Styela clava: one gene and its partners. The protein of the gene in region 3 purifies or fractionates together with the protein of the main gene of each other region. This does not show direct contact. Links are inferred from orthologs where the notes say so. Each region holds a gene or a part of one and is shown on either strand. Other genes may lie near its edges. The genes, in order: protein numb homolog, ralBP1-associated Eps domain-containing protein 1-like, AP-2 complex subunit mu and AP-1 complex subunit gamma-1-like.

Region 1 (6,856 bases), on a different chromosome or scaffold from region 3:
TATACACACGTTATGTCTAATTGAATATAGTCTACCTTCATTTTAAATATAAATAAAAGAGGAATACTGTTTTTAGGGTATACTAGGAACTAGATATTAAATGCAAGCATGAAATTATATTACATTTGTTATAGAGGTAATTGATAAGCAATAAAACGGAAATAAAAAACAATTGCACTTTCTTACATTGGCGTCTAGGTAGGCTGTGTGTGTACCTCGAACAGCAATCTTTATACCTTCATTTTGGTGATAGAATGAACAGACAGAATGAAAATCCGGAGAGACGGATTTTAAAATATTTGAATGCTTGCATTTATTCTTCCACATTATTCGATGAAATCGTAAACTGCAAAAGAATCTCACATTTCGCTTATCGTAAAATGAATGTAATTGTTTTCAACATTAAATAATATGATCATGATCAACATTTTGCTTTTCGAACTGATTTACAGATCACCTGTGCTTTTAATAGTGTGATGTTCTACATGAAGATTTGAATCGATTTTACCAATTGGATTTAGATCGATTTTAACAAATATGTTTGATTATTAATTAATGTTCAAACTTTAGAAAGAAAAGAACAGAAATATTACCTAGAAAATATCTATCAATTTGAATTTATAATAATTGACTTTGACATTATAAGCTAATAATATGCTATGTCTAATAATAATATATGGCTCGCAAATCTATTATCTACTCGCACGGTGTGTCGTAAATGTCGTGTCCCACTTTGCTCTGGGACAAGTGGGACACGACATTTTTGAAACACCCCATTCCGAATGAAACGACGGTAACGAAATAATAAGTTCGTATTTTCAGCATGATGAAGAAATAAATTATCCATTTTCCATATCCATATTCATTTTTACATATTAGAAGCAGAAGTTCAGAAATTTCAGGTAAATTTACTTTCGTTTCTGTTAGACTCAATCACGGGTGTCGCTGCTCGATAACCAGTATTGGTTTCTTGCGCTCTCCTGAAATAACAGTTTTGTTTCTTTTTACATTCTGTACTCTCGAAGTGTATTTCATGTATAAATAAACTAATAATTACAGCTCAACAATGCTTGTCAGTTGCCAATAAATATATTTATGTAAAAAAAAAAAATGAAATCCCTTTTTACATTCAGATTCTAGTCACTTTCTTCTTGGACAAATTCACACTTATGCTTCCTTATACGTATATACTTACAACATCAATATTACGAAAAGAAATAAAATGATGAAATGAATAATAATAAAGTCATTCTTATACTGCAAATTCAATGTGTCAGCCCTGGGCAGTGGCCTCCAACTTGGGTTCCACAGAAAAGATTATTGTGGATAGGAAAAATTATTTATTGCTATTTATTTGGGTTAAAAAAGTCACACTGCGTGTTCTTGAGCAGATTATCTATACATACAAGTAGATCCCATTTTCTATTCGACGCCTCATGTCCTTCGACCCGATATCTAACTGAGATCCAACTATGTGCGAACGGCCACTACATCATCCATCGCATTTTTGCGCGCAGTTTTCTCGCGAAGTTTTGTGTATTGGTGAAAGTCACTCTTGCATAACAGTAATGGGCATACTACAGCCCGCGGGCCAAATCCGGCCCGTTGGGTAATCCAATCTGGCCCGCCTGATGCTGCCACAACCAAACTAAAACCAAATTTTGATGTTTTAGCTACAAAATAGCGCAAGGAATTTGCTGAGATTGTGATTACATTTGCGCGAAGCTTATTGTTTTCCACTTTTGCTTTTGAATATTGTGCATAGAATGTAACTTTCTACGTCACACTTACTAGCCCGCTAGTATAGGTGGGGAAATTTTTGACACCAGTCCAAAAACCTTCCCTACCCCTGGCTTAAACGTTAATTTATTTCGAATTTTCTCACAACGTTATCAATACTTTTAAAGCCGCATACAGGGTGTAAATAAAGTTACTTTACAATTTCAATTTTGTTGTGAACTCAGTTCTTAATACATATCTATATATCTTAACCAGGTTTGTTATTTTTTATTCATCAGTTACTTCATTTAATAGTGTATATTTACGATTTAATACATCTGTGAGGGCCAAAACAATATATGATATATCGATAAATTCCTCTTTCAATTTAAAAAGAAATTATCACTTCATGGGCATCCTGTAAATATATACTTTCTGATGTGAAGGGAAACAAGAGAGCTATGCTCAAATATATGGACACGTAGGCACCCAATGGCAATAATTTTGATGACGTCATAGCGAAAAAAAAAGTAATAGCCTTCTGGAGAAAAATTTTATCTTCAACCACTGAAAATTTCAAAGCAATTGGTCCAGTATTCGAAGAGAAAAGCGACTTTTTAAAAACGTGTCAAAGAACAAGAACAACAACAAGGATAACAAGAACAACAACAACATAATATTGAAACGATCGTTATGTCCACTACGTGTCCAATAATGGCTCCACTTTTTTAAACCAACTTGGATGTTTCTCTAACGTTAAAACCCTCGAAATTTGTTGGTTTATAATAGCCTACTTTTGCGCATATAAATCACGAAAGGTTGTATGTAAAACGTTCGCCAATAAAATGACAGTCGTCTTGATAGTTTTGTAAAAAGTGTCGAAGATAAGAAGTTCAGAAGAGTTAAGACTGGTAATATGAGGTGATTTAAGTTTATAAATGCCGGGAACGATCACGTAGGATTGGGAGGTGGGATTTGGCACGTATAATTCGAGTGGAGATTTTGTATGGGATTAGAAATGAGAAATTCATGAAAAGGTTGCTTGATGCTTAGCTGTCGCGGGGGGGACGTGATAGCTATTTGGTTAAGTGGAGGAAGGAGGAATATAATATAAAATTATAAACGGTCATTTATATTTTATGCTACCAATTATGGTGCCTCGCAATCTAAAATGTATTCGACAATCGTCCATGCGCCTGGAACGAATCGCTGGCTAACTATTCCAATACTCGGAGTTGGCTGGTAACCGGACGAGGGTTCAAGGTTCGTCATATGATTAAGCTTTCTAGTTGGCTTACTTCCCCAAAGAGTATACATGACCGCCGAAACAAATATGAAATTCTATCCAAACTTTTTACTCTCTGGCGTCACAATGTGACAGCAATTTGCATTCTAAAAATCCAAACTACAAATGGGAATGACGTCACTTCGTTCTCCCTGCGGTCGCGTATGGAAAAAGATTCTGAAATTACTACAGTACGGTACCGAAACTCTCAAAAACTATGTATTTAAAATAAAATGATTTGATTCAAAATATTAATACGAAAATTCCGTTTGGCATTGGAATTTATTTGGCGAAAAAGGGGGTCCCGGTACGGTACCGGTACCGGTAGGATACTACCGTAACTGACAATATTCTGACAGTCAGGTACCGGTACGGTCTGACGGTGGTACCGTATGTTGCATTAACAGACTCAGACTGAAGTTGCAAAGCTGGGAGCACAATTACTGAATTAACTTACTGACTTAAGCCCTACCAGTCAGCCAGTAGTCTAATCAGAATAATATTGTTCTTGTTGTTGTTTTAATGTAAAAGTGACAGCTTCGACAGTCCAGCAATCTGACAGTTGATTTTCAGCAAATTTCTGCATTAGGCTATTTGTCTTCTGGTCTGCTTTTGAAAAATGAAGTCCTGAAGTTAGTGATTTGGATAGCTAGATAAACATTTTTATGCTTTGAGTAAATTTTGTAGAAAGATAAACCAGCGTAAGTCAGTAAGTTGGATTACTGTATTACATGATCAAATACATGAATTCAACTCATTTTCCATCCTTATAACAGTATAATGTCTGAATGTCAGTTTATTTCATGCTTCGTAGATTAAAATTTTTGATGTTATATTTTTGTAGCATTGGTCGCTCAACTAGCCTATCATGTTTTCCAAATAAAAAATAGATAATAAGACTCCATTGTCTGAAAAAGGCTGAACGTGTAAGGGAAATATCTTATACTACAGTACTATTGGAATTATTTAAACACTATAAAAATCACTATGATGCGGTCAATTCGGAATAGTTTTCGAAGGAAGAAGAAACCAAAAGTTCCAGAAAGTACTCAACCACCTGAATGGCAACAGGATGAAAAATCTGTACAGACTGGAACTTGTAAATTTCATGTTAAGGTAGATAATATAAACTTTCTGAATGTGTGTGTATTAATATAAGGGTTTCAAGAAAACAACGTCAAATGTTAAAATAGAGAAAAAAACATTTTTTTAAAAAAAATTCTAAGAAATAATGTGAATGCTTTTTACTGTTTCAAGCTGGCTCTAATCAAAGTTCAAAGAAAAAGGTATTTAATGAAAAGAGGAGTTTGAAATTAAAAAATGAATGTTTTCTTCATTTTCTAATGACCTTTTTTTTTCAAATTTTTTATTTTCGGGTTGAAGCTCTTGCCTAGTAGATTTGTCAGCCTGAAATAATATATTTTATAGCTTATTGTAACACTGATAGATGTTCGTTTCATTGTTGATATACTGCATTCAAATTTTATTACAACTACGGTAAATTTTCAAGTTTTATAGATAGATAGATTTTATTTTGATTCATTCGCAAAAAAATAAAACAATACACAAAAAAGAGAAAGGCGAAGAATCTGGAAATTGAACAAAACCTAAAAATAAATTTATAACATATTAAACGAGTTCGTTCACTCACCGAAGAAGAAAGAAAACAAATCACAACAAACACAAACAAATAAACATCAATACAAATGATTGGTCAATATTCAGGCTTCTAACTTCATAATCAAATTACCTGAAATTATTTACAAACAAAATAGTGAACTGAATAGTGGATATGTGTGCGATGTGTGAGATGGTGTGTAAACAAACAACCGAACAAATTGTTTCCAGATGAAAATGTGTGAACCTATGCCAAATCAGCTATATATAACGTCTACACAATGATGCGAACATCGATTGTCATCGAGATACTTCAGCCTCTATTGTATTCTACCACAATTTGGTCTACCACTCTTGTAGCATCACCAAACAGTTCGATCAGCACAAAATATATGACAGTGATTTGTTGTAAGATTAAAATTATGCGAAACAAAAACAATAACAACACAGGAAAAATTGTTCTATTTTATACCTATATTCCAACTTTATTTGGTAAAAACTTGTTTTGTCCCTTTATTCAAATCTGTAATTAGTCTGTATCAAACAACAGCATGAGCTTTTTTTTATTAGGGACAAATTGGTAATACTTGATATCAGTCAATTACTCATAAATACAAAATCTATATTCACACATAATTGTTTTAATCAGTTGTGTTAAATTTATCTAGCAGCATATTTAATATCAACAAATCAGTGATTTAAAATTGTGGATGGTTTTTAATAGAAGATTTATTGGAAGAAACTGATGATTATAGACACTTTACCGGACAGTGATGCATAATAATTTATTTAGTGTTATGTATTGAAAAGTGGGCAGTAAATAGAAAATGAAAGATGAATAGCGAAAATTCCTAAATCTGCATCATCTGGTTATTTTTTTTTTTTTTTCTCTCTTCAGTATCTTGGATGTATTGAGGTTCAAGACTCAAGAGGAATGCAAGTTTGTGAACAAGCAGTGAAAAGTCTAAAAGCGGTGAGACTTTATTTAATTTCATTTGCTAATTTTTGTATCAGTGTTCATGTACATGTTAAAAATTTTGTGGCTATGATATATATCAGTATAAATTGTGTTTCTTTTATGTTTGTTGTTAGTTCTGTACGGCAAATGAAGGTTTGCAATTAGCTTCAGTAAAAAATTGGATTTTTTTTTTATCAAATATCATTATAATGAAAAATTGATATTTTTGCAATATAATGAGTGTAGCATATTCATATGCCGTTTGTCTGGTTAAACATCAAAATACCTACCTGTGCACTTATAATACAATTATTGCTTATTAGATCACGAGTCTATTGCAAATTAGGTTGTGTATTTTTGTTACACAACTGACAGTTAATTTATGTTAGTTGGCAAATCAAGCTGTATATATCAATTTATCAATGTCAAATATGAAATTTTAGTGTGCTTCAAACAATGGTTCATATCGGGATTAAATATAGACAGTCGGAAGTGCGGTTATCCTGTGTTTTAACATTGTGGTGCTAATGTATCATCCTTATGACGTTAATTCTTTATTGTTTGTTTATTTTTCCTTTCTAATTCAAAGACGTTTTCCTATAGATTCAGGATGCGATAAGAATTTTTCCTCGGGCAATTGAATGCTTCTGGCGTAATCAAAGCAATCATGATATTGTGGGTTCATGCATAATATTTTTACGACATTATAACAAGCATAACATAGAAAATCTGTTTTGTGACCTTTGGCTTAGTTTCAAACATATCCCACTGGAAAAAGCATAATTAAACCGTGCTTTACATACAAATGAGCTCTCCTATTGATTGATAATGAAGCTATGTTCAGGATAAGATTCCCCAGTGCACGAACTTATTAAAGCTCTTAAGTTTGTAAATAATTATTCCCTTGACTGATGGAATTATGTGTATTATCGACTATTCCCCATCCAAGTGTTGGTGACTTAATATAAGTATGATTAAGTTAATGAAACATATAAATTTTTAATTTTCAAATGTACCCAGTAATGTCCAGTAATTTAAAATCGTTAATTCATTTCGACGTAATAGGGGTCTCACAGATGGACCAAAAAGGCCTGCATATTATGATTTTTAATAATTCAAATCAAACAAATTCAAATTACTGTTTATCTACTATTCCCCTGTATTTCCAAAACAAACTCATTAAGTATGCATGTATTGACTTTTTTGTTTATTGGTTGAATATTTAAAATGTATTCGGTATGCTAATATGTAAAAATATTATTTTAATAAATGGATTT
Region 2 (7,756 bases), on a different chromosome or scaffold from region 3:
ATTATAATAGGTATGTCACTGGATCCTGTCGCTACACTGTTCGATTTCATGAGTTTTGTGTGACGATCAGGGGCGATTGATAAGTCTGCGCTTTGTATACGAGTTCTTGGTGGTTTTGTGGGTGCGGAATATCCTTTTTTATTTGTTGCCTTTTCCGGAGATTTTTCATCTTTTGCCCTGCTTTGTTTTTCAACCTGACTGTGCCTTGGTGCAGGGGTGGGCTTTGTGTTCGGAGTCTCAATATCTTTACCTTCTTGCTTATTAGAATGTGCAGTTGCAGATGCTGGGGAATGACGATTAGGTGAAACTGATTCCTCAATTTGTCGACTATTTTCAAATTGACTAAAATCAGCAAATTCTTCCGACTGAGAGGCTGCAGATTCTGTAACAATTGGTTGCTGTTGAGTGTGAGGTCTCGGAGGTGGAGTTGGACCAGGAACTTGAGTTTTTGTGGAATCTGATAAAACTTTAGTATGTGCTGCTTCTCGTGCTAGTTGTGTTGGTCTTGGTGGCGGAGTTGGAGCAATGTTAACATTATCTCGCAATATTACACTTGTTTCCATCGATGAACTTTCCATTGAAGAATCTGAGCCAGATCTAGGTTGAAGAGGCCGAGATGACCAATCACTTTGGTATTCTTGATCAGATGATGGGTTGCGTGTTGGTTTTTTATCAGTTTCGGTAAGTGACCTATCACTGGTCCCTGTTGATGAATGTGATGAATTAGAAGACGAACGCCTTCTGGGACTGGCATGACTATCAGGTTCTGATGTATCATTCTTCAATGAACCATAAGGATTTGTTAATGATTTGTGCGAGGGTGGAACTACCAGACCTTGTGCATGATGGTCTTCATCATCAGTACTTTTAGATGAGACTTTTGAGCTCATTTTTGCAGTGTGCATTTCGTGTTTTGAAGGGGTGACTCTAAGTGCTACTGGGTGAACTATACCCGAGTTATCAGCATGATCTAATGATTGGTCAAAATTTGCAAGATTCGTTGAACTTGAAGTTCGGTCACTGAATGTTTCCCATTTTTCAAGATTCCAGTGAGTTTTGTTATCTTCTCGTTTTACATGAGTTATTTGAGGCTGAATTCCAGGCTTTTCCGCAAGATTTTTCGCAGGTTTCATAGGCGCTTGAGTTGGTTGTAACTTTTCACCATCAACCGATTCATACAATGGCCTTTCAGTAGGTTTTATTTCAGACGTTCTTTTACCATCAGGTGTATCTGTTGAGATTACATTCATGTTACTAAAAGATTGATTTACTTCTCCAATGCCACACATTTTCATTAAAGGGGGTAACAAGGTCTTAGGCAAGACAGCTGGCAGTTCATATCCATTTTTGCGCGCAACTACAAGATGGAAAGCTGCGCAAAACTCAAGAAGTGTTAAATGACCATCTTGGTCCATGTCACACAATTCCCAGATATGAGAAAGTTCTGGGATTGGAAGTCTTGATTTTGTGAAGAAATTACGGGCAGTTTGACCATCTATTTTACCATGAAGTTGAGGTTGCATCGATTCAAATTGATTCCTGTAATAAAATCCTTGTTCTTCTGTGACATACCAAGGATCATGCGTAACATTTTCAGTTCTTCTGCTGTCAGTAGCATAGTATGCATCACCAGAAGGGCGTTTTTGCAAGGACTGGTGGCTTTCTATATGTTTTTGCTGTGAAGAATTTATTTTATTGTGAGAGTCTAAAACTTCGTCATTGCCAGCTAAGTTAGCCATTTTATCATGGCTGTCCGCTAAAAACGAAGAGTCATTATCGTTGTCAGAAGATTGATTTCTCAGAATATGACTAATTGTACTACCAGGCCCATGCGTAATTAAAAGAGGTTGTGTACCGGGGTGCGTAATTCTGTGACTGGCTGCTGGATGAGCTTGACTTGCATTGTGGGTAAGATCTAATCCAATTCCAGTTCGACTAGAAACAGGCTCATCATTCAACCTTGTTGAAGGCTGGATTCCTTGATGCAATGATGGGATTACATCTGGCCGTGACTGAGTAGTATAACTGGCAGGTGCAGGAGAAGCAATAAGAGGGCCAGCTTGATTGACAGATATTACAGCTGACTCGGAAAATGAAGTCCATCCTTCATCCTGCCTAACGACAGAACGAGGAATTTCTTTAGGTGGTGCAGAATGAATCGGACTTTCTTCAAAACTCATCCATGCTTTTCCACCTTCTGTTTGAGACTTCAAAAATGCCTGTCGTGGTGTTCCAGTAGTCATTAAAACTTTTGTTAATAACTATGATAGGTACTCAAGCAATTTATATATTTTTCTCAAAAATATAAATATTAGGTTTAAATATATTATCCAGATAAGCACATTCAATTAAAAAAAAAATGCACAAATTGGGAGCATTTGGTATGCACAGAAAATCAAACAATCAGAATGCGACCCCCAAGGAAAAGTTGTGTGGCCTGCAAAATGAGTTTTTAATTTAGTTTAATATGGTACATGTGAGTAATTCCAAGACTATAGCCTACCTGAGTCCAATTTATTTTCCATGCACATGATGTTGCAATGCCCTAGCACTGTAGCAGCTAGCTTGAGCGAAGCGAACAACCCATGTCATAAGATCAATAACTAAATTTTTTGTGTCTGGAACTACTAGAAAGCCTACGCAGTCTGTTAAATAAAAGTGCGACCCGCGGTTTCACCCAGTCATTTGTATCTGGCCTGCTCTTATTAAAGGTTGCACACCCCTGACTTAAACCATATTACTGTATTATGCTACCTCATGGCAAAAAAGGCCAAAACTTCTGGACTGAAAATCTATAGGCCGAAAAGCCTGTGGACCCTGTGATATACCTGTATGCAGATATACTGACAACCTAGCATTGGAAAAATTACAGAAAAATGTGCAAAAAATATGTTTGAGACCTGATAATTTTATTTCCTGAATAAAAAAGGACAGATCATTGAATCGTCTTTTTTATCATCGATGATACTATTTACAAAGTCATAGATAGAAATTTCTGATATCTGAATATACTGATATATGGTACCGGTACAGATATTGGAATAGGTTAACTACTACAGTACGGTACTAGACTAGGTGAATCAATATAATGCAGTAGTCTATTCTACAATATACAGGGTGGATGGATGGTTTTAGGGATTTCTAGATTGATTTTCAAAATCCAAATGCAGTTGGACTACTTTTTCACACATACTGCAGTACTGAAAAAAAAAACAGCCAGTGTACATTATTACACAGAACAGAGCTGCAGAGTGGAGTGAAATAAAAAACGAAATTTTACAGTTTTAGGGCGAAGGGAGACCTCACTGCCTTAGCATCGTCAACTATGAAGGACAGGCAATACCGGTATCGAATACAGAAATACGGTATTCGCGAGGTATGCCTACCGTACCGGTACAGTAAGTTAGACTAAACGCTGAAACGCCATACCGGTACCGGTATCGTACCGGTACCGGTAACTGCCCAAATAAAGCAAAACAAAAATGTGATGCAAATTACTGCTGGACGGTACATAATTTGTTTTTGTTTTTTTAAAAAGACACTATATACAGATATAAGCTGCAGAGCGGAATCATACCAGTACTGGCACTTTTTTTTGCCAGTAGTGGCACTGCGGTACCGTACCGTACCTTAAAACTGTACTATAATATTGACACCCAAACAGATCATAGATACAGAGGGAGGCGGACAACTCGACTACACGGACAACTCACCAGAGGCAACTCGACTACAGAGAGGCCTGGTGAGTTGTCTGTCTTTCCGCATTTTCTACGGCGATGTTTTAGGTTAGGTCGGCATGTTAGTCGTTGGTTAGGTCTATAGAAATGTGATTTTGATATTTTTAGGGCACAAATGTTGAGAAAAATACATAAATATTCTCTAGAAAGCATTTTAATTTTCAAAAGTGGCTTATTTTTCTCATGGTATATGAATAGAAATACAGTCTACAGATGAAATTGGAGTAACGTTAGGATAAGATTTACATATTTATCCCGGGGGGTAAATATGTAGAGCCATGAGTGGCAGCCAACCCATCAGTCGAGCAATCGCTCTGCGAGGTCACGATATTGATACTCGAGAGGCAGACAACTCGACTACAGATCACAAGAGAACTCAAATCACCAGTCGAGCAATCCCAATGACAGGCAGAAAATGAGCTCTGAGAGGTTACAAAATCAATTCCCGAGAGTCATACAACCGTAAATATATACAACACAGCTACCGTACTTGCCAACCAAGTTTCTGCCTTCGACAGAAAAACTAGTTGTTTTCCTGTAGGGAAAATTAAATGTCGTGCATCATTCACCATCGCATCTTTTATAAAAAATTAAACCTTCGAAATGTGATCCTGGGTCTTTATGTTGTAACATCGCCTGTTTCTGGCATAGGCTAAAGCCATAACGTGCTTAATTAGGTATCTTATTCCCTAAAACAAAAATGCGTTTGAGTGAAAGATTTTGTGAGGTTGGAGATGTCATTATATGAAATCTGAGCTCGGCGACAGCAGAGCTGTAATCTCGGCTTGCGTCTCCGCTATCGCCGACTTTGAACCTCAGCTTGCACACCAAGAAGGTACGTGTGTAGGGGGGCTTTTTACAGACGGATGGTTATATGCCGAATCCCGTCCTCGAAGAGAGAGATATTTATTGTTTCGTCCACCAGAAAACAAGCAATGATACACACAATATATACGAAATACACAAGTTAAATTCGGTACAGACTGGGAGGTGCAATACGACCATAATGCCATCAGAGTCAGCTCCCCACAAATACAGTATTAAATTCCACAGTTAATGTATAAAAACGATGTATAAAAGATACTTGTTGGAGGTGCCCAACCTCAAAGATGTACCACATACCACAGTATCGCAAAGAATAAGTATACTAAATGTTCATAGCAAAATAAAAATCGAATAAAATCCCTCATTCGTATCAAAAAACGGAATCCCATATTCATGTTTCAAAACAGTTTCTTTGCCAGGCGCAGCGACAGTGCCTATTCTGCCTCTCGAGCATCGATATCGTAACCTCGCACAGCGATTGCTCGACAGTCGAGTTTAGAAGCTCTAAGCTCGTATTCATGAATATATATATATATGTGTTATTGTCATGTATAAACATTTTAATATATTTAAAAGTATGTATTGAAAACAAACAAATAAAATTCAAACGCACACAGTCCTATAAGTCAGCAGTCTGACTTCGCAAACGTTACAACAGACGGACCCCAGTTTCGTCTGTAGACTATACCTGTAGGATATATTCATATCAAATGAGCAAAATAAGTCACTTATACGCATAAAAATGCGGTCTAGCACACATAAAAATGCTGTCTAGGAAATATTAATGTATTTTTCTCAACATTGAAACCCTAAAAATGTCGATATTACACTCCTTAAAACTTCTTTTTACAAATTATTTTTTATCTTTAGTTAATTTTGCGTTAGTCTACCACTCTACGCTACTAACGTAAAGTTAACCTGCTTTTACGTTAGCTTGAGCGACATCAATTCAAATTCCTGACACCCCCCCACTGTGCATTTGTGACGTAACAAGGAGTAGGCCTATATGACAAGTACGTATATTGTAAAGCCTATTGTCGAGGCTAAAACACGGGGTTGCCATATTGGCTTTTTTAACGCCGAATTTGCCATTTTTGGCTTTTTTCAAACGCGTTTGGCGTCAGAATTTCCGTTTGGCGTTTTTTTGGCTTTTTTCAAGTCTATTCTAGTGTCTATTATTAATATTATATGAAATACAATATTTGGTGTGTAACAACTGAACAATAGCCTATTACCTGTACTTAGCTACTTAACTTTAGGATTTCCTGGAGCATCGATTTCCTTGTTTGTTACATTGACTCTTACCCATACCCAATAAGAAACAATTGCAGTTTCTGCAGCTGCTCAGACAGATGTTCAAGCAGGGTTGTAAACATTGTCTCGTTTTTATAGTTTTGCGTGTTATTTGTCAGTTTTACGTTCTATTTCCAAAAAATAGTTGTATAACTCAATTTTCATTATGCCTGATATGGTTTATGTGAGCTTTAGTTTAATTCTGCAATTGCAGTAACGATGTGATTAACTACGCTAAAATTACTGAATAAGATATCAGTGGTACACCTATGAGCGGCAGGGGGTTAGATAACTTTTTAATAAAATTGATGGTTTATAAATTTTGGAAGTGAAAAAATTTTCAATAGTAGAGTACGATATAGGGAGAGTTTTTTTAAGATATATCACAAGTTCAAGTAGAAACATGTAGGTATATTACATACTGACAGACTGAAGCGGCACCCTGTATTGTATATATTGAATGGTAAAATAATGCTGTCCGCTCGATATTTATTTTACTTTCTACAGTTGTATAGAAACTTTACTTTCTATTCGTGTGCCTCACTGAATGAACTAATGGCTCTATAGTCTATATCATCATCAGTACGTTGCCAAGGGCTTAAATCATGGGGCTTTTGTACTTAGTAAAATTGTTGGCTTTTTTTATGTCTTGATTTGGCTTTTTTTGATCGCTGGGGTCTGGCAACCCTGCTAAAACATATCACGTGTAGTAATCGAATCAAAAAAGGGGAAATTTGCAGAATCAGTGCCCAGTGGTCTTTGATTAAAAAAGCCAAGGAACGTTAAAGTTTTGCAAAATGGATACATTTTTTAAAACAACAGCTGATACTGAGCAACATATTGTACCTAGCACAAGCAACGTTGGAAAAAAAAACTTGTCAAAAGGAAATACAGGGAAGATTACGTCAAATATGGATTTTCTTGCTGTGGTAACGGAGATGCTCCAAAACCAGTCTGGGTTATTTGGGGGGAGCAACTTTCAAATGAAGCAATGTTTTCGAGTAAACTTATGCGCCACTTAAATACGAAACTTGCCGTTCATGCACGCAAAAATATAAATTATTTCCAGCGGTTGTTAAGTCAAAATAAGAAGCAAGAGTGCCTTGTGAAGTCGTCTTTTACAGTCTCAGAAAAAGCATTAAAAGCTAGTTATCGTGTTGCAAAATTGATTGCGCGTCACGTAATGGTTCTAATATAGAGCGATTGTGCTCAATAAAACAACCACAAATCTCTCATTGTTATATGAACATAAAACAAAGTTACACCTTGTATTTTTCGTTTGTTGTGGTGTGCCGTCAAATTTGGCAAGTTTTATAAGTCCGCCGCGAGTTAAAAAAGGTTGCGGAGCACTGGTTTAGACTACCGTACCGGTACTGCGACCATAGACTACTAAGCTCACATTCATGAATATTTAAGTGTTACTGTGATGTATAAGAATTTTATTATATTTAAAGGTGCTCATTCAAAGCATTCAATAATAATAACGTTTGAAAATTTAAACGTACACAGTCCTATAAGTCAACAATCTAACTTCAAGTCTATGCTTCCGAAAACAAATAACTGGCTAACTAATCCCATACCTGACCTGGTAACCGGACGAGTGGCCGTGGTTCGCCATATGATTAGGTCGTCTTATCGGCTTTCCTCTCCCTCGAGATAAAAATGTAAACCCTATCCTAATTAAAATATTCAAATGCCTTCATGACATACATGCATTTCACAAATATAGGCATGTCCAGTAAATCATATCCTCCCATATCTTTTGGTTTGCACAGATCGATATTGCCATTGTTTTGTTACTTGGAAAATATTTTTCTACTATGGTTTTGATTCCTTTTTCTATCCTGTGTGGCATTGTATATATTCTAGAATCTAGACAAATATAAACATTTTGATAAAAT
Region 3 (7,548 bases):
TAAACAACAATACGGTAAAAAATACGAACAGACATCTGGACATCACATTAGAATTATTAAATTACCTTTCCAGACAATGCAGTTACAACCTTATTTTATTAAGATTTGCACAATGTCAAAAGAAACAAGAGTTAGTCATCACACATAATTACAGCAATAAAGTTCAAATTCAATCAATTTCGAAAATTAAAACTTTTCTTAATAAAATTTGAACAAATTTTAAATTAGAAATACCAAGTGTCAGTGAAAATTATTAATCCCTTCAGAATACAAATTGCATCAATGACACATTCATTTCAACTGAATTAGAGATTTTAAAAATCATCTTAGTTCTTTATTTAAAATGAAAATAACTTAAAGCTTTTTACAAAATGTTATTAAAGATCATAAATAACATAATAACCTGAGTTTTGATTCCTTGTTGCGTAATAAATGTCTTTAATATTCCAGTATCAGTCTTCTGCGGATATCCGAAGTCCAAAACCTCTGTAATAGGTAAAATTCATTGATAAAAAAAAATCCATTTGCAATTTCAAATACTGTAAATGTGAAACATTTTAAAGCTAATCTAATATGCATCTCCATTAGCTTGATTGTTAGAAATAGGCTTTTTACGATTCAAGTGCTGTTAAATTCAAATCTTAACATTGGTATTGGCTTCAGTAAGTTGGCATTGCATTGAGTCAACCTTCATCAAATACTCAACTGGAGTTGGATTGATTGAATATTTATCAAAGACTCAAAGTCGAGTCATCTAAATGAAAAAATTCAAACTTGTCATCAGCTGACCGCCTGTGAGAATTAACTCAGCAATCATCTTGACTCCAGGACTCGACTTGATGGCACAGATAACTCATGGGTCGTAACTAGACTCGCAGCTATGAAATTAGAAACTACTTTGGAAACCCTTTGAAATCTCTTTCAACTTTGGAACCCCATTCCACATATACAAATAAGAATGATTTACTCTAGCATTCCACTCCCCAATTTTATTCTCCCATTTTGTGAATATAATTTCAAACTTTGGAATGTTCTACCTTAATAATTTGTCATCTGAAATTGTGAATCTTAAACATAATAGTGTGAAGTGGGGAGTTGACATTGATTCCTGTCTATACATACCAAACTAATTTATCACTTGGTATTATTTTTATTATTACGATGACTGGTATTTTATTTTGATCGACGAAAAACAAATCTCTCTCCCTCTCTCTCTACTGAACGCTGCACACTTGAGATCTAAGGTTCGAGCTGAGGTCTATCTACCAAACGGTCGGAGGGTTGAGAATGAGGTATTGGGCATGATAAGCTGATAAAATACTGGGATGTTCAAACTCAGGATCTTCTAAGTTGATAAATAAAAGAGAAGCTATGGTCTATGTACACTAACCATCTAGAAGTTCGTATATCAAAACAAAATTGTTTTTGATATTTTCTTCATTGATTTTTCCAAAATAACTTTGCATAACATCGATCATTTTAAGAAGAAATTCAAAAACAAGAACAGCGTTGACATTTTGCTTTGTTACCTGAAAAATGAAAGCGTTGTTTAATTGTATACTTTCTAGAGAGCTTGGTTTCTAAACGCGATAGAATTTTTGGAAAAATCGTAAAGAAAATCAGCATTAGGGTCATAGCTAACAAAAGCAAATCCATTTCCCACCAAATAACATATAGCCTACCTCAAATGTTACTAAAGCTATATAAAAATGTGTTATTTTTGGACTATTTTGAACAGTCTTTATACCATTTATCAGTGCGAAATTGTTTACTAGAGGTACTATAAGTAATTCCACAAGGTATTTGAGAGAATCAGGAAAGTATCGAAATAGAATCAAATTTATATATCTGGTTAAATTGCTCTTGGTTGACTATATTGTAACATATATTATGTTTTCCAATATTTTAATAAATCCATTTAGGAAAGTCTCCAAAAAATGGGTTAGCTTAAAAATCATAGTTATTGATTTTTGATATAGATACACCATAATATTGATCAGTCTTATAATTTTCATTCCCCTAAAAATGAATCCTGAAACACAGCAGTAAAGCATTCCTTGTTGAAGTAAAAAAATACTGTGATTTCTACAATAAATTCTTACAGCACATAGCCATATATTTCCTCGTTTTGTATGAAAGAAACTTGTCCGTGCTATATTGGTAACAGGTGATCGCACTTGCTGTCTTGCATGAATAACATTGACACGAAAAGCATCACACGCGTTCCGCCTGTAAAATATTACATTGTATGTCAGAACAATGAAATACTACAATTAGCAAGTGCAGTTTTAAGTATTCCATGGCGTCTGCAGCTGCCACAAAACCATGGCGGTATTTCCATATCATGGCCGCTACGGCCAAACCTATGGCGACTGACTTTTTAGCTGCCACAAACCAATGTCGAGCTGCCGTTACCGCGGCAGCAAATTGAAAACCAATGGCAGGTAAAATTTTGCTGCCGTAACCGCGCCTCACAATTAGGGAGAGTCTATAAATTCAGATTACTTCAAAAATAGCTATTGGCTTTTCTGGACTGGGAGCGTTCATGCGATTGTAAGCAGGGATATGGAGTCTGGAAATTTTTACAATTGACTTTTGACTCGAGGATAAAAAAAATTTGGCTAAGTTTCCCAGTAGAGAAAAATTGACTCTCGCTCCTACTTGTAGAATATTTGGACTCTGGGACTCCAGATCCAAATTCTGAATCAAATTTTTCAATAAGAACTTTGACATAATAGGCTGTTATTAATAACACTCTGTAAACATACACATAGTATAATATATATAGAAGTGCAAAAGTTATAAAATCTGCAATCAATGGTCATAAAGAACAACATACCCGATATCATCACGATATATCCTCGATATGAGAACTTCTCCCTTGTGATTGTAAAGGAAAAGACCACCGATCATTTTGGTGGTTTGACCAGGCCAGAGGCCTCAAACGCTTCAGACAGAAATATTCAGTTTCCCTACTTTTATAAGAACATAGCAGTTTAAATAGTTCACTAGCTTTCAATGAAAGAATCGGAAAAAATTTAAATGAATATAATACATGAATTAGGTGAATACATGAATTAGGTGATTGCTTCCCATTTCTAGATATTGGAACATAACCACTGTCAGACTTTCCGATTAGAGAAACTGAAGCTTAGTTCAGTAACGCACAGTACAGCAGTACGGTACTACAAATTCACACCCATTTCTGCATTTCAGCATTTGGATATAACCACAGACAGAGATACCGAATTGTATACAGGACCGTACTGCCAGTCTGGATTTCATGGCCTTTTTGAACGAGAAATCGGGCGTGCAATCAGAAATTCCCGCGTGCAAATAAGAATCCCTGGCGTGCAATTATCAGAGCCATTATATAATGGCTCTGCAATTATAGCTCACGGCGTGCAAAACAACTGCGCCCGCGTGCAACTGACTTTGACATTAGATACCTCTCAATACATCACCGTTCGGTATCGGATAAAAATTACGTTGAATCAGATCAAAAATGGACGTTTGACCTTTAACCCCAAACATTTTTTTCTACAGTTTGTCGCTAATTTTGAGAGTGTTTGTGCGATATTGGATACCGGTACTGTTCAGTACATCCGCGTAAAATTATTGAATAAAAAATACGTTGAACCAGAGAAAAATGGACATACTTTGTCATTAATTTTGGGAGTGCAAATTAGAGCAAAATTGGCCGTTTGACCGTTGACCCCAAACAGTATTTTTATACTCCGTCACTAATTTTGAGAGTGTTTGTTCGACTTTAAATACCGGTACTGTTCAGTACATTCGTGTAAAATTATTGTATGAAAAATACGCTAAATCAGAGCCGTACCTGGCCAGCGTTGGTGCGGGGGCGATCTTTTCGTCCATAACTGTTCTCACGGGATTCCTATCATTCAACACGATATGGTCTTTTTTGCTTCGCATTTTTCGATCAGACCAAATTTTGCAAGCTAGTATTAGTCGACAATTGTGGAGTTATAATATTTTGGCATCTTTATATTACTGGATTATTGATTTTAAAACAATTTAAACCGATTTACATTGGTGAACAATTGCAAATTTTCGGCGTGCAAAATTGAATTCGCTCGCGTGCATTTTTGCGCAGCGCTAGCGCCCTCGGGCGTGCACCCGCCATGGAATCCAGTCTGGCCGTACTGTAGCCTACCGTCTGTCGGGTAACCAATGAGTAAAAAAAAATGAGAAAACTGCTGTACTGGAATAACAGAATCAATTTCCATTACTGCAATATGATCTTGTACCGATACCGTCTGACCTACTGTACGTTTACGACCGTAAGTCTTAAATTTACAGTATTGCTGTATTGAGTTAAGTTAGACAGTTCGGGCAATCAATCAATCATTTTATTTCGTCTCTCTGACTAAAACGGAACAATACAAAAAAGTAAACAGACAACAAATACAGAGATACCTGGAAGGCGAGCATAACTTAAAATAAAGTTAAAAAACGTACAAGTACGTGCCCACCCACCAAAAAATAAAATAGAAATAATACGATTATACAAAAAATATGGACACGATTCAAAACCGGGCAGTGCTTATAACTCAATTTAAAATGATAAAAGCCAAATAATTGCTTGAATCAGTGGATAATTTACATGGAGTAAAATAAGTGTTGTGCTTGAAATAAGACAGCAAAATTCAGGTAGATAAAATTAAATGTAATAGAATCCCAACGACCTCCTCCGTCTCTGATAGATGTTTCAAATGTTTGTATACGATTATGGTAGCTGAGAAATCGCCAGGATTAGCCTTACAGTAAATATATATAAATAAAGCTGATCTCGAATTCTGTAAATTTTGGGTCTGAGATTCCCATATAGCATAGAAATATACCGATACAGGTCAAAATCTATCTATGATAGATCATAGATCTGTTATATATGTACTTCCATACAGGTACCGTATCGTTGAACTCTGTCACAGAGTCGGTGTACAATTTCAGAATTTGCAACTCATTACGGTACGTACCGGTACGGTACGGTAACGTTTCATTAATCTTTCTGTTTTTGTCTGTTTGTGGGTCGACCGCTTCCGGTACCGGTACTCATTTCGCGTGTGTCAATAATCATTTCACTTACAAGTAAAATAGTCTACTCTAGACACTATGCAGGCAATCAGCAATAACAAGCCTAACAAAACCGGATTATAGACTCTCAACAAAATTGACAAACGGAAGACGGACGAAATCAGGTGGGCGGACACGCCGAAAGTTTACTTTTGACAAACATGCAAACTTTAATGCTATAGCGACCACTAGTGATAACCCGAAAGGCGATTGATTTCCGGAAAATCGTTCAACCGTCCATAAACATTTCTACTCAGTATTTTAGTAAACTGCCAAAATCTTTCATTAAATTCTGTCAAAAGTTTGATATATAAATTGTCGTTGACAAGTGCAATGTTTTTGTTAATTCATCCCTAATTTTGATTCATCCAACCGTTTAGAAACAATTGTAAATAGTAAAAAGCACGCTAAGAACATAATACATGCCCAAGATGATAAATCGATCAAAATAGTTGTTTTTTTCATAGATAAATTTATCTCATTGCACAGGATCAAAAGTTTAAAGCTTGAGAAAGCTTAGATAATAATTCTATTTGTCTGAAGAGAAAGTGAAATTTATTATTTATTAATAATACTGTACAGTCGTCGTAACAACAAGCAATAAATATTTTAACAAAAGAGCGATGATTGAAGTGCGCGATTTCTGATGACGTCATGGCACACAAAAATTGAATCCCGCAGACATTTTTAAAATTAATAAAAGTAATAGCAGTAATAGTAAAATACAATATTCAACCACTGAAAATTTCAAAGCGATTGATCTTGTAATTGAAGTTAAATCGATTTTTCGAAGAAAAACAGGAAAAAAACAAGAGAACGATATGATCAAATAAACGGACACGAAATAGTATAGGTATGCAGTCTGTCACGGTAGTCTACCATTAAGGTGTCGATAACAATGTAGCCTACAGGTACCATTTGACAACCGCGAAAGCGGAACCGCCACAAGGAGCGCAATTTTTGATTTTGAGAAGGTTATCGTACACAAAAACAAATTGCATCAGAAGCCACAGAAATTTTTAAAATAAATAAATAATCTTCTAGCGAAAAATACAATCTTCAACCGCTGAAAATTTCAAAGCAATTGGTCCAGTAGCTATTGAGAAAAGCTTCTGAATACTAACGAGGAGATCAACAATAACAAAACAATCCATAAGAAGACCACTGGGTGTCCAACAAAAGCAACAACGTAATAACAAAACATTTATTTATATGTACACACCGTGTCCAATAATATGTTCAGTAGGAAAAACGCTTAAACTTTGCAATGTAAGGTAGCCACCCGACTTTAAACCGCAATAAAAACTCTCCCTATACTTTATCTATGCTTATGATGCGGATGTTTTCGAGAATGTTTTTTTTTTAATATATTTGACCAACTGCAATAAAAAGTACACTTACTTTAGTATACTAAACCCCATCTTTTTGAAACCGCGTGGTTTTTGAAACAAATTGCCTGCTAAGTTATTCAATTTGCACATATGTCGAAGGTCCATATGTGCTAAAAAATGGCGAAGGATGTATGTTGACCCAAACATTGACAATATTCTGGGCGCAACTCGTGCGACATTGAGGTATTTTTCCATTGACATACTTTTCCATAACTCAATAGTCCCTCACCCTAAAGCACATTTCAGTTGGTTTCATCATAAAGAGAATGCACGATGAATCATAATATTTCTGTTAAATCGCAGCATGATCGTAGTTTGCAAGATATTTTTTCCAAAATAAAAAAACAAGACGGAAAGAGCCGCATGAAACCGCAGCAAGGGCCGCATGCGGCTCGCGAGCCGAGGGTTGGCCATTCCTGCTCTATACTGAACCGATTCAGTTCATAAAAATTTGACATTAAGTAAAGACCTATGTGCAAATGCATAACTTTGGTAACTGTTTGAACCTGAAAATCAGTGTTCACATTGCGTGTGACGTCACTTCCACTTGACTTTATTCAACGTTTAACAACATATCGCAATGGTCAAATTTATAGAAAATAAATCGTGGGATTAAAACACGGATAAATAAGAAAATTTAAAAAGGCATCTAACAAGGTGCTGGAAATTTTATCCCGAAAATTGATAATTTAACTCGACCGTTTAGTTCAGGTTGTAGCCAATCATAGTGTGTATCTGAATGTTTATCACTCACAGCCCGTCGACCGCTGGTCGTGTAATTTCATATTACTCATGATGTAAAAGTGCTATTCTCTTACTTTGGTGTTATGTTCCTATGTCAAACGGTATGTGCCGTTTTTAAACGCTAGTATCCCTACGTTCTAATATGTATTTATGCTTTGATCATTCATATAAACTTATAAAGTCAGGCGATCTATTTCATTTTCATACAGTAAGTAACAACTTCTCCGTCCATATGCTTCAAAATGCACTTCGATAGTTTGTGTTTGTATTGGCGATTAGGGTTTATTTTTTTTAAAAAACGGAGTTTAGCTATTTG
Region 4 (7,598 bases), about 5.0 Mb from region 3:
TTCTCAATATATCTTAACCAGGATTGTTGTTTTTCAATCATTTTTACCTCATTTAATACATCTGTGAGGGCCAAAACAATATGGTATCGATAAATTCCCTTTGCAGTTTAAAAAAATTTTGAGACTTTAAGGACCCTATAATATATCAGAAAACCAAGAATTTTAAATATCGAATATAATTCCATAATATACCATTCCGAGTACAATAAGAAGAAAATGCAAACCCAGGATTATTAACTACCCCATATGCCAAGGCCTGATTGACAAAATTTGTTGGTGCGGGAACATTATATTATTACATCATAATTGGTCTAAATTCAAATATAACTATATAAATATATGATCTTGATAGTTTCAACAAAGCCCATTTTCGGGACAGTTTTAGTTTGTGATAATACACTTTTGAGGGGGGCAATGAGCCCACTTGAAACTCTCTACTGCCATGAAGCAGCAGGAAAATTATTCACTTCCCCCATTTCAGTAACAGGTTGTCCGTTGATCGTATATGAGATTCGTAGCCTCATTCTCAACGGCACTTTTCCTGGGTTGTTAATTTTGATTGGCTGTTCTATAGTGCCACCACTGTTCGGTGGAACCACGTTTCCTGATGGCGACAACATCTGGAGTTGTAGCTGCTTCGGTAACGCTGCTTGGAATACATAATCCGAAATTTCAGATGGGGTCTGGTTACTTGTTTTGACATTGATGGAAAGCACTGAGTCTCCTGGCTTCCTATCGAAGTAAAAAATAACTTTCAAACCTCCTTTTTCAAACGCTGTCATTTCTGGAATGAAATTTGTGGCAACAGGAGCCGGGTCACCAAGCATTAGCCCTGCTAACCCGTTAATTGCTGGCGGTGGGGCTGAACCCATAATCCCGTTCGTATTTGGCATAGCGGGTGGGGGAGACCCCATGATGTCATCGAGGAGATTAAGAGAATTACTCATCGGAAGTATTGGTTGTATAGGGGCCCCACCCATGGGCGGGACAATGGGCGTGTCCGATGCTGCGGAATTATTCAAATCGACTAAATCTAACAATAAATCAATATTGCTTTGTGGTGCTGCTGCTTCTTTCACTGTTGCCACATTTTGTTCCGTTTCTCTGTCTTCCAATTCCTCCCCATAATTTGTTTCAGATTCTCTTTCGATCGATTCCGCCGGCGGCTTTTCAAATTTCGGCATCGATTCTAAAACACCAGCACATAGATTATGATGCTTATCCAAGAGTGCACAATATTCCACAGCTCTCTGCTGTACCTCGGTGCTGTGTGAAACTCCAAAGCGCTCAATAATTTGACGAACTCTAGATTCTATGCCTGGTATTCGTGCACTGAGCTTCATTATTGCATTAATAGCATACGCTTTTGTTACGGGATTCGATAATGAACTTTCAATAGTGTCATCAAGAAAATCTAAAATCTGGTCGCCAGAGACTGGCTCAATTACATCTCCAGAATCATGATGCCCTTCAGCTAACTCGTCTCCATATTCTCCAAGACACCAGGATAAAACTTGAACTAAAGGCTGCTGGTCAATATTTTCAGGCATTTTTGCTGCATTTAGAAGAGAATTAACGGCGTAGGAATGTAATTTATCACTATCAGATAGCAGATGTATCAAACTTGGAACGGTGTCGTCTCTAACATAATTACCAGCGGTCGTGAGAACTTTCAACATCGTATCAATATGCCAGCGACGGTTAGGAGCGAATTTTTCCGCAGCTAGAAAGATTCCTGACGCACAGTCGGACTTGAAATCTGGAGGGCAACGGGTCAAAAACGCAAGTAACTCTCTAACAGTTCCTCTAACATTATGGCTATTCACAAGAGCAAAGCACAACTCCATTGCACGACGCAAAATCGAAGGGTCCGGATCTTTTAAACAATCAAGAACAGTGGTGCGATGGCGCTGCACAGCGTTCATATCCGTGTGGACTGTCCTCAGAAGAGAATTCAACGCTACATAGCGGATATTTTTATCATTGTTGAGAAGAAATCGGCCCAGAATGTTGACGGCAAGAACTCTCAGTCCACTTTCAGATTTGATATCCATGATTGTGAGGACCGTTTCATATAAAATTGCATTCCCAACGTTTTTACTAGTTTCAGTATTCGTCGCAACTTGAGCCAATATATCGTTCATAATCTCGCTAGCTTCGCCGTCGTGTGATCCAAGGATTCTTAACAATCGTAAAATACGAACTTGCAAAAATGGGTCACTAATTCCAGAAACATCATGCTCTGGCGAGTATCCAGACATGATTAAATTCTTCAAAATCCGCACGAGAGTCGGGCACAGCTTTTTTAAACTTTTCAAAACCGCTGGACTCGCTCTACACATTTCTGTGATCAAGGACACAGTTGCCAAGGCAACTCCATGGTTTTTATCGTTCAAACACGACTTCGTCAACGGGATAAAATTTTCCATCAATTCTGGTACTTTTCGAACGATTCTACATGCACAAAGAACAGCTTTCTTCTTGATATATCCGTTAGAATTTCTCATTAACTTTTCAACATCAGGTGCAAGATCTCGAGCCATCTCTGCTGATCCGACACTTCCAAGAGCGCAGAGAGCTAAACTGACAACGTACTGACTTGAATGGTCAAGATCATTCTTCAATGAATTCGTCATAAGAAGCTGGACTTCTCGATTTTCATCCAAAAGCAACATTACACCAAGATATCCAATTCTTTTATCAGTAAATCGTGAACTAGGGAGTAATTTCATCGTTTCCAACTGGCCAAAATGAGCAGGAAATCCAAGCATGTAAATATATAATAATTTTGCTACATTACGGCAACGAAACGTGGTATCAGTGTCGCGGAATCCGTTACGGATGTCTGCACATTCTTTATTGATAACAGCACGCTCCTCCGCAGCAGTTTTACAAGCTCGAATATTGCGAATCAAATCTCTCAGCCTGATAGGTGTATGTGTCGTTACATTTGCAAACATTGTGATACAAATAAATGTTTAACCTAATTGTGAGATCTAAAACACATGAAGTAAAAACAGGTGTCTGTTACGGATAAAATTTTCATATTTATCCAGGGGGAGAGGAAATACAATAACAGGGCTAAACTACGTGGAAATTCATAGCTTCTTGTCCATACCCATATATAAATATACCCAACTTTGCATTTGACAGTTTGATTACAAACTGTGGCCAACTGCTTGTATCATAGCATTCAGGAGTTTACAGATTCATTAAATGAATAATAAAGCAGCTGTGATATGGGGATGGACTACTTCAATGACTTTCCGTTGTATCTTCGGGTCTGGTATAGTTTAGTACCACATGTACTTAGTTGACCTGGCTCAACAATTTTTGCATATGTCAATCCTAATCCCCACTTGACTACGTCACCGAAAAATTACCTCATTTCGACGTCACAGTGCCGTAATAAGGCCCACCGAAGTATGCTGATGCTCGTCCAAAACGCACAGACGATCACCCGAAATCGAGCAAGCAATCTTTCTCGTCACAACGATCACTATAGGAGAGAGATCGCCGGCTTTAGCAAGTTCATTATCGGCGGAGCAGATGTCATTTCGGGCGATCGCCCGAAACTAGTTTTTATGTTTGCTTTTTAGCTTTGTTTGTTTATAAAAAGAAGCAGCTAACCAATTAAACTTCACTAAATTCAGCAATTTGTTACCGGTAAATATTATGTGTATATCGCTATTACTCTCTCTCTCTCTATTGGTATTCATATTTCTACACAGGCACGGTAATATAATTTTCAATTGTTTCTTCAATTCTTCATGAATTTCACTCATTCAAATTTTTTACAACTTTACAAGCAAGCTTTGCTCATGAATTTTATTTTCTCGTGTTCATGCACGTTCATGAATTTATCCTAGTATGATTGTATGATTATCGTGATGTATTTTCACTTGTTCGATGAGTGTGAGTAAATGGGCACAAACACTGGTTACAGTACAGCGATCGTTATAAACCTTTATATCAGTACGGCACACTATACAAATCGAGTGACATTGTCCCGTTTCAGAGAAACCAATTTTACAGATGATCAGACACCCCTCCTTTGGTGGACGTCTGGACATTGTTGTCCCTCCGATTTACCAAAGAAAAAAAATGTTACCATAGCATTCGAGAGTTTTCAGCAAAAAACGGCAACTTTGGTCATGTGACGTCCGCGATATATTAAGATTATTATTGAAACAAGCATGGCGCGATATGAAGCATCTGATGTGGTCCAGACGCCCCTTGTTTGTGAGACACATAGAGCGTTTGATTTATTGAGCCAAATGGAGGGAAATTCTTGGAATTTGGATAGTGTGCTGTACTGTATATAGGTTTTTCCCATTTTCCTGTCGCCATTGTCTGTGTTTTTTTAGTTGTGTTCTGTGTTGTAGACAAAAGATCGAAATAAAATTGTATTGTAATCGAAACCCCAGGTCGCTTAAACGTAACGCACATAAATGGCCAATTTTTGTTAAATAACGTAACGCACCTAAATGGCCAATTAAATATTGTTCGGCTTCCTTCTCCCGTTTTTCATGATTCTATGTTAGACTCCCTTAAAGGTGGCGCAGTTTTTTATGATGCTATGTTACACTTCCTCAAAGGTGGCGTTTTGGGGTCTCATGTAGTTTCTTACCTAACATACTTCTAGTGGGCGTAGAATGTCAATTTTTTCACGTATCAATCCTAACCCCAACCTGACTACATCATTCAAAAATAACGTCATTACGACGTCACAGTGACATAATAGAGCCCTTCAAACTATACGAACTGCCATCCAAGACGCGCAAACGAGCACCCGAAATCGAAAAGTTATCTCTCTCGTTTTCTCGTCGCAACGATTCCAATAGGAGAGAGACCGATAACGTCAGTCAGTTCTTTATCGCCGGCGCCAATGCCATGTTGGTCGATCGTGCGTATATTTGGCAAGCTCTATGACGTGATTGTGATGTCGTAGCAATTTAATTTTTGGATGGCGTAATCAGGTGGGGGTTAGGATTGACATATCAAATAATTGTTATGCTACGCCCACTAGAAGCACGTTAGGTACTAAACTACGCGAGACCCGCGTTTTGTGGCAATAAATCTTTCTTACTCTTCTTGCTCGATAACCATGACTGATTTATCGCGTCTCCCTTCATGCTGAAATACATTATTTTATATTTTACCTTATTGTTTGTATACTTTCGTATATTCGGTATGTGAAAAAATAAATTACTGATTCAGTGATTGGGTACTGCAGTACCGTACTGTAAAGCCTGAAAGCCGTAATCCTGTAATCAACAATCCCAGAATTTTGGCTCAACCTCAACCCTAGCCTAACAGTAACAAAACTTAAAATGATAAAATTTTGTTATACAGTTGTCTAAATATAAAAATATGCTCAAGAGTTCTCAGTCATCTGCATATATCTTAGAATCCATTAATCATATTTCCCATTTCACACAAATCTAAAATCAGGCCGATGAATAGAAACTCATTATAGCAGGCAAACACGAAACCCCACACCTTCAGAATTTCCCGGTACCGTAACTGATGACGTCATAGCGTTATTTTGCCATTGTCCGGATTAGCATTAATAGGATTTTCATAATTATTTCGGTAAGAAAAAATCGATAAGGCGCCTTAAGCTCACGGCGAACCACGGCCTTTCGTCCTGTTACCAGTTCATGTCGGGTACGGGATTAGTTAACAAGAGAGCTATGCTCAAATATATGAACACGTAGCTCCACCCAGTGGGAAAAATTTTCATTCAAGCATGAACACACCTGCTCCCCTGATTTCGTTTAGTATGAGCAATGACATTAAACAACATGATGCGCAACTCCGGCATTTTTGGCCGAAGATCGTAATCGATAACACGCTCCAATGCACATACTTGACGAGACGAAAACGAGCGGATGTGTGCTGCTTTCAAGGCATAGCACGAATGATGTTAGTGCTTGCTTTGACAGTTGTTGTCGATTTTAATGATATTTTGGAAAGTTAAGTTAAAAAGAAATCGGAAAAAGGTAAGGTAAATACTATTTTTGTATATCACACCCGGGCATCGCACTGTTAAGCTTTTTCAAATACTACGAAGTTATTAATTCAGTACGGTACGTAGTTGCCCATTTGCTGAAATTGCATATTTAATTACCCCTTATGGTTTCAAATAGTTCATGCATCTCCATTTAGATTTTTCTAACCAATGAGGATATATACGCATTGCTGTAACGTACTATTGCTCAATCACTTTTATTTGCGTATTGATTCAAAGGGTTAACAAGTTCACCTAACATTTCACTCATACCGGTCTATATTGTATAGTATGATGTAATAGTCACGACTTTTTCAATTATTTAAAACGGCCAAATAAGTCATCTATGTATCTGGAGGACACCCTTCCTTCTGAGATTGAAACGCATATAAATTCTCTTACTAATGGTAAGGCAGAAGGTCATGATCGTATACCAATCAACCTTTTGAAAGTTCTAAAAAATATCATTAGCCCTGTTTTATGTAGACTTTTTAATGCTTCAATGTCTCTAGGAATTTTTCCCTGCCATTTGAAAGTAGCCAGAGTTGTGCCCGTATTTAAATCTGGAAATAAGTGTGAAGTATCAAATTATCGCCCTATTTCAATATTATCATGTCTTGCTATTCTTTTTGAAAAATTATTACTAGTTAGATTAAAATCCTTCTTAGATAAACATTCAGTACTAAATAATGACCAGTTTGGTTTTCGTAATGAACATAGCACTTCCCATGCAATAATAGACATTGTCAGTCAGTACTATAACATTATAGATGAAGGCTCAGTAGGTTGTAGCGTATTTCTGGACCTTAAAAAAGCGTTTGATACTGTCGATCACAGCATTTTGATTACCAAATTAAGTCACTATGGTATTCGCGGAGTTGTGAATAAATTGTTTGCGAGTTATTTGCATGACAGAAATCAATATGTGTCATTAGGTGGTTCTGCCTCACTGAGTGGAAAAGTCTCAGTTGGAGTTCCGCAAGGGTCGGTTCTTGGACCAACTTTATTTTTAATACATATTAACGATATCGTAAACGCTACCAATGCCTCAATAAAACTTTTCGCTGATGACACAAGTTCTACGTCTGCAGCAAAAAATCTGCCTGACTTGGAAAATAAAGTCAATGCAAACTTGCTGAATATTTCTAACTGGCTCACTCTAAACAAACTTACTGTGAATCCTGCTAAGACACAAGTCTTGTTAATTAATTGTGCCAAAAGTCTTGAATCCTCTAACATAACTCCAAAATTTACCCTAAATAATTCGATATTGACTACATATGATTCTGTGAAGTACCTAGGAGTCAACCTAGATCACAAACTAAATTGGCAAATTCACATTGATCAGCTCGCTCGTAAGCTGTCAAGAGCCCTTGGTGCTATGACCAAATTGAAACATCTTGTACCTAAAAGAGTTTTAAGAACTGTTTATTTTTCGCTTTTCTACACTCATCTTCAATATGGAATTGTGGCATGGGGCTCTGCTTCTAAGACTTATCTGAATCGAATCAGTGTTTTACAAAATCGTGCGTTGAGAATATTGACTAGTACACGTTTGCGACAAAATTTAAGTCCGATCTACAAA

The links.
Region 1: the proteins of AP-2 complex subunit mu (region 3) and protein numb homolog purify together in Homo sapiens (affinity purification with mass spectrometry; 3 studies listed by BioGRID and IntAct, counting the BioPlex papers as one, with this or other methods). This does not show direct contact. The link is inferred for Styela clava from reciprocal best matches to the Homo sapiens genes AP2M1 and NUMB.
Region 2: the proteins of AP-2 complex subunit mu (region 3) and ralBP1-associated Eps domain-containing protein 1-like purify together in Homo sapiens (affinity purification with mass spectrometry; 3 studies listed by BioGRID and IntAct, counting the BioPlex papers as one, with this or other methods). This does not show direct contact. The link is inferred for Styela clava from reciprocal best matches to the Homo sapiens genes AP2M1 and REPS1.
Region 4: the proteins of AP-2 complex subunit mu (region 3) and AP-1 complex subunit gamma-1-like purify together in Homo sapiens (affinity purification with mass spectrometry; 3 studies listed by BioGRID and IntAct, counting the BioPlex papers as one, with this or other methods). This does not show direct contact. The link is inferred for Styela clava from reciprocal best matches to the Homo sapiens genes AP2M1 and AP1G1.

The regions. Positions count from the first base shown.
Region 1 is NC_135258.1:8,272,827-8,279,682, reverse strand, and holds the start of protein numb homolog, read left to right. Parts: upstream 1-3,830; 5' UTR 3,831-3,991; coding exon 3,992-4,120; intron 4,121-5,519; coding exon 5,520-5,594; intron 5,595-6,856. UniProt on the Homo sapiens protein: Regulates clathrin-mediated receptor endocytosis. Plays a role in the process of neurogenesis.
Region 2 is NC_135259.1:15,707,111-15,714,866, forward strand, and holds the start of ralBP1-associated Eps domain-containing protein 1-like, read right to left. Parts: upstream 3,010-7,756; 5' UTR 2,244-3,009; coding exon 1-2,243. UniProt on the Homo sapiens protein: May coordinate the cellular actions of activated EGF receptors and Ral-GTPases.
Region 3 is NC_135263.1:5,962,845-5,970,392, reverse strand, and holds the start of AP-2 complex subunit mu, read right to left. Parts: upstream 3,015-7,548; 5' UTR 2,914-3,014; coding exon 2,840-2,913; intron 2,230-2,839; coding exon 2,103-2,229; intron 1,530-2,102; coding exon 1,391-1,529; intron 487-1,390; coding exon 404-486; intron 90-403; coding exon 66-89; intron 1-65.
Region 4 is NC_135263.1:918,276-925,873, forward strand, and holds the start of AP-1 complex subunit gamma-1-like, read right to left. Parts: upstream 3,013-7,598; 5' UTR 2,961-3,012; coding exon 435-2,960; 3' UTR 1-434. UniProt on the Homo sapiens protein: Subunit of clathrin-associated adaptor protein complex 1 that plays a role in protein sorting in the late-Golgi/trans-Golgi network (TGN) and/or endosomes.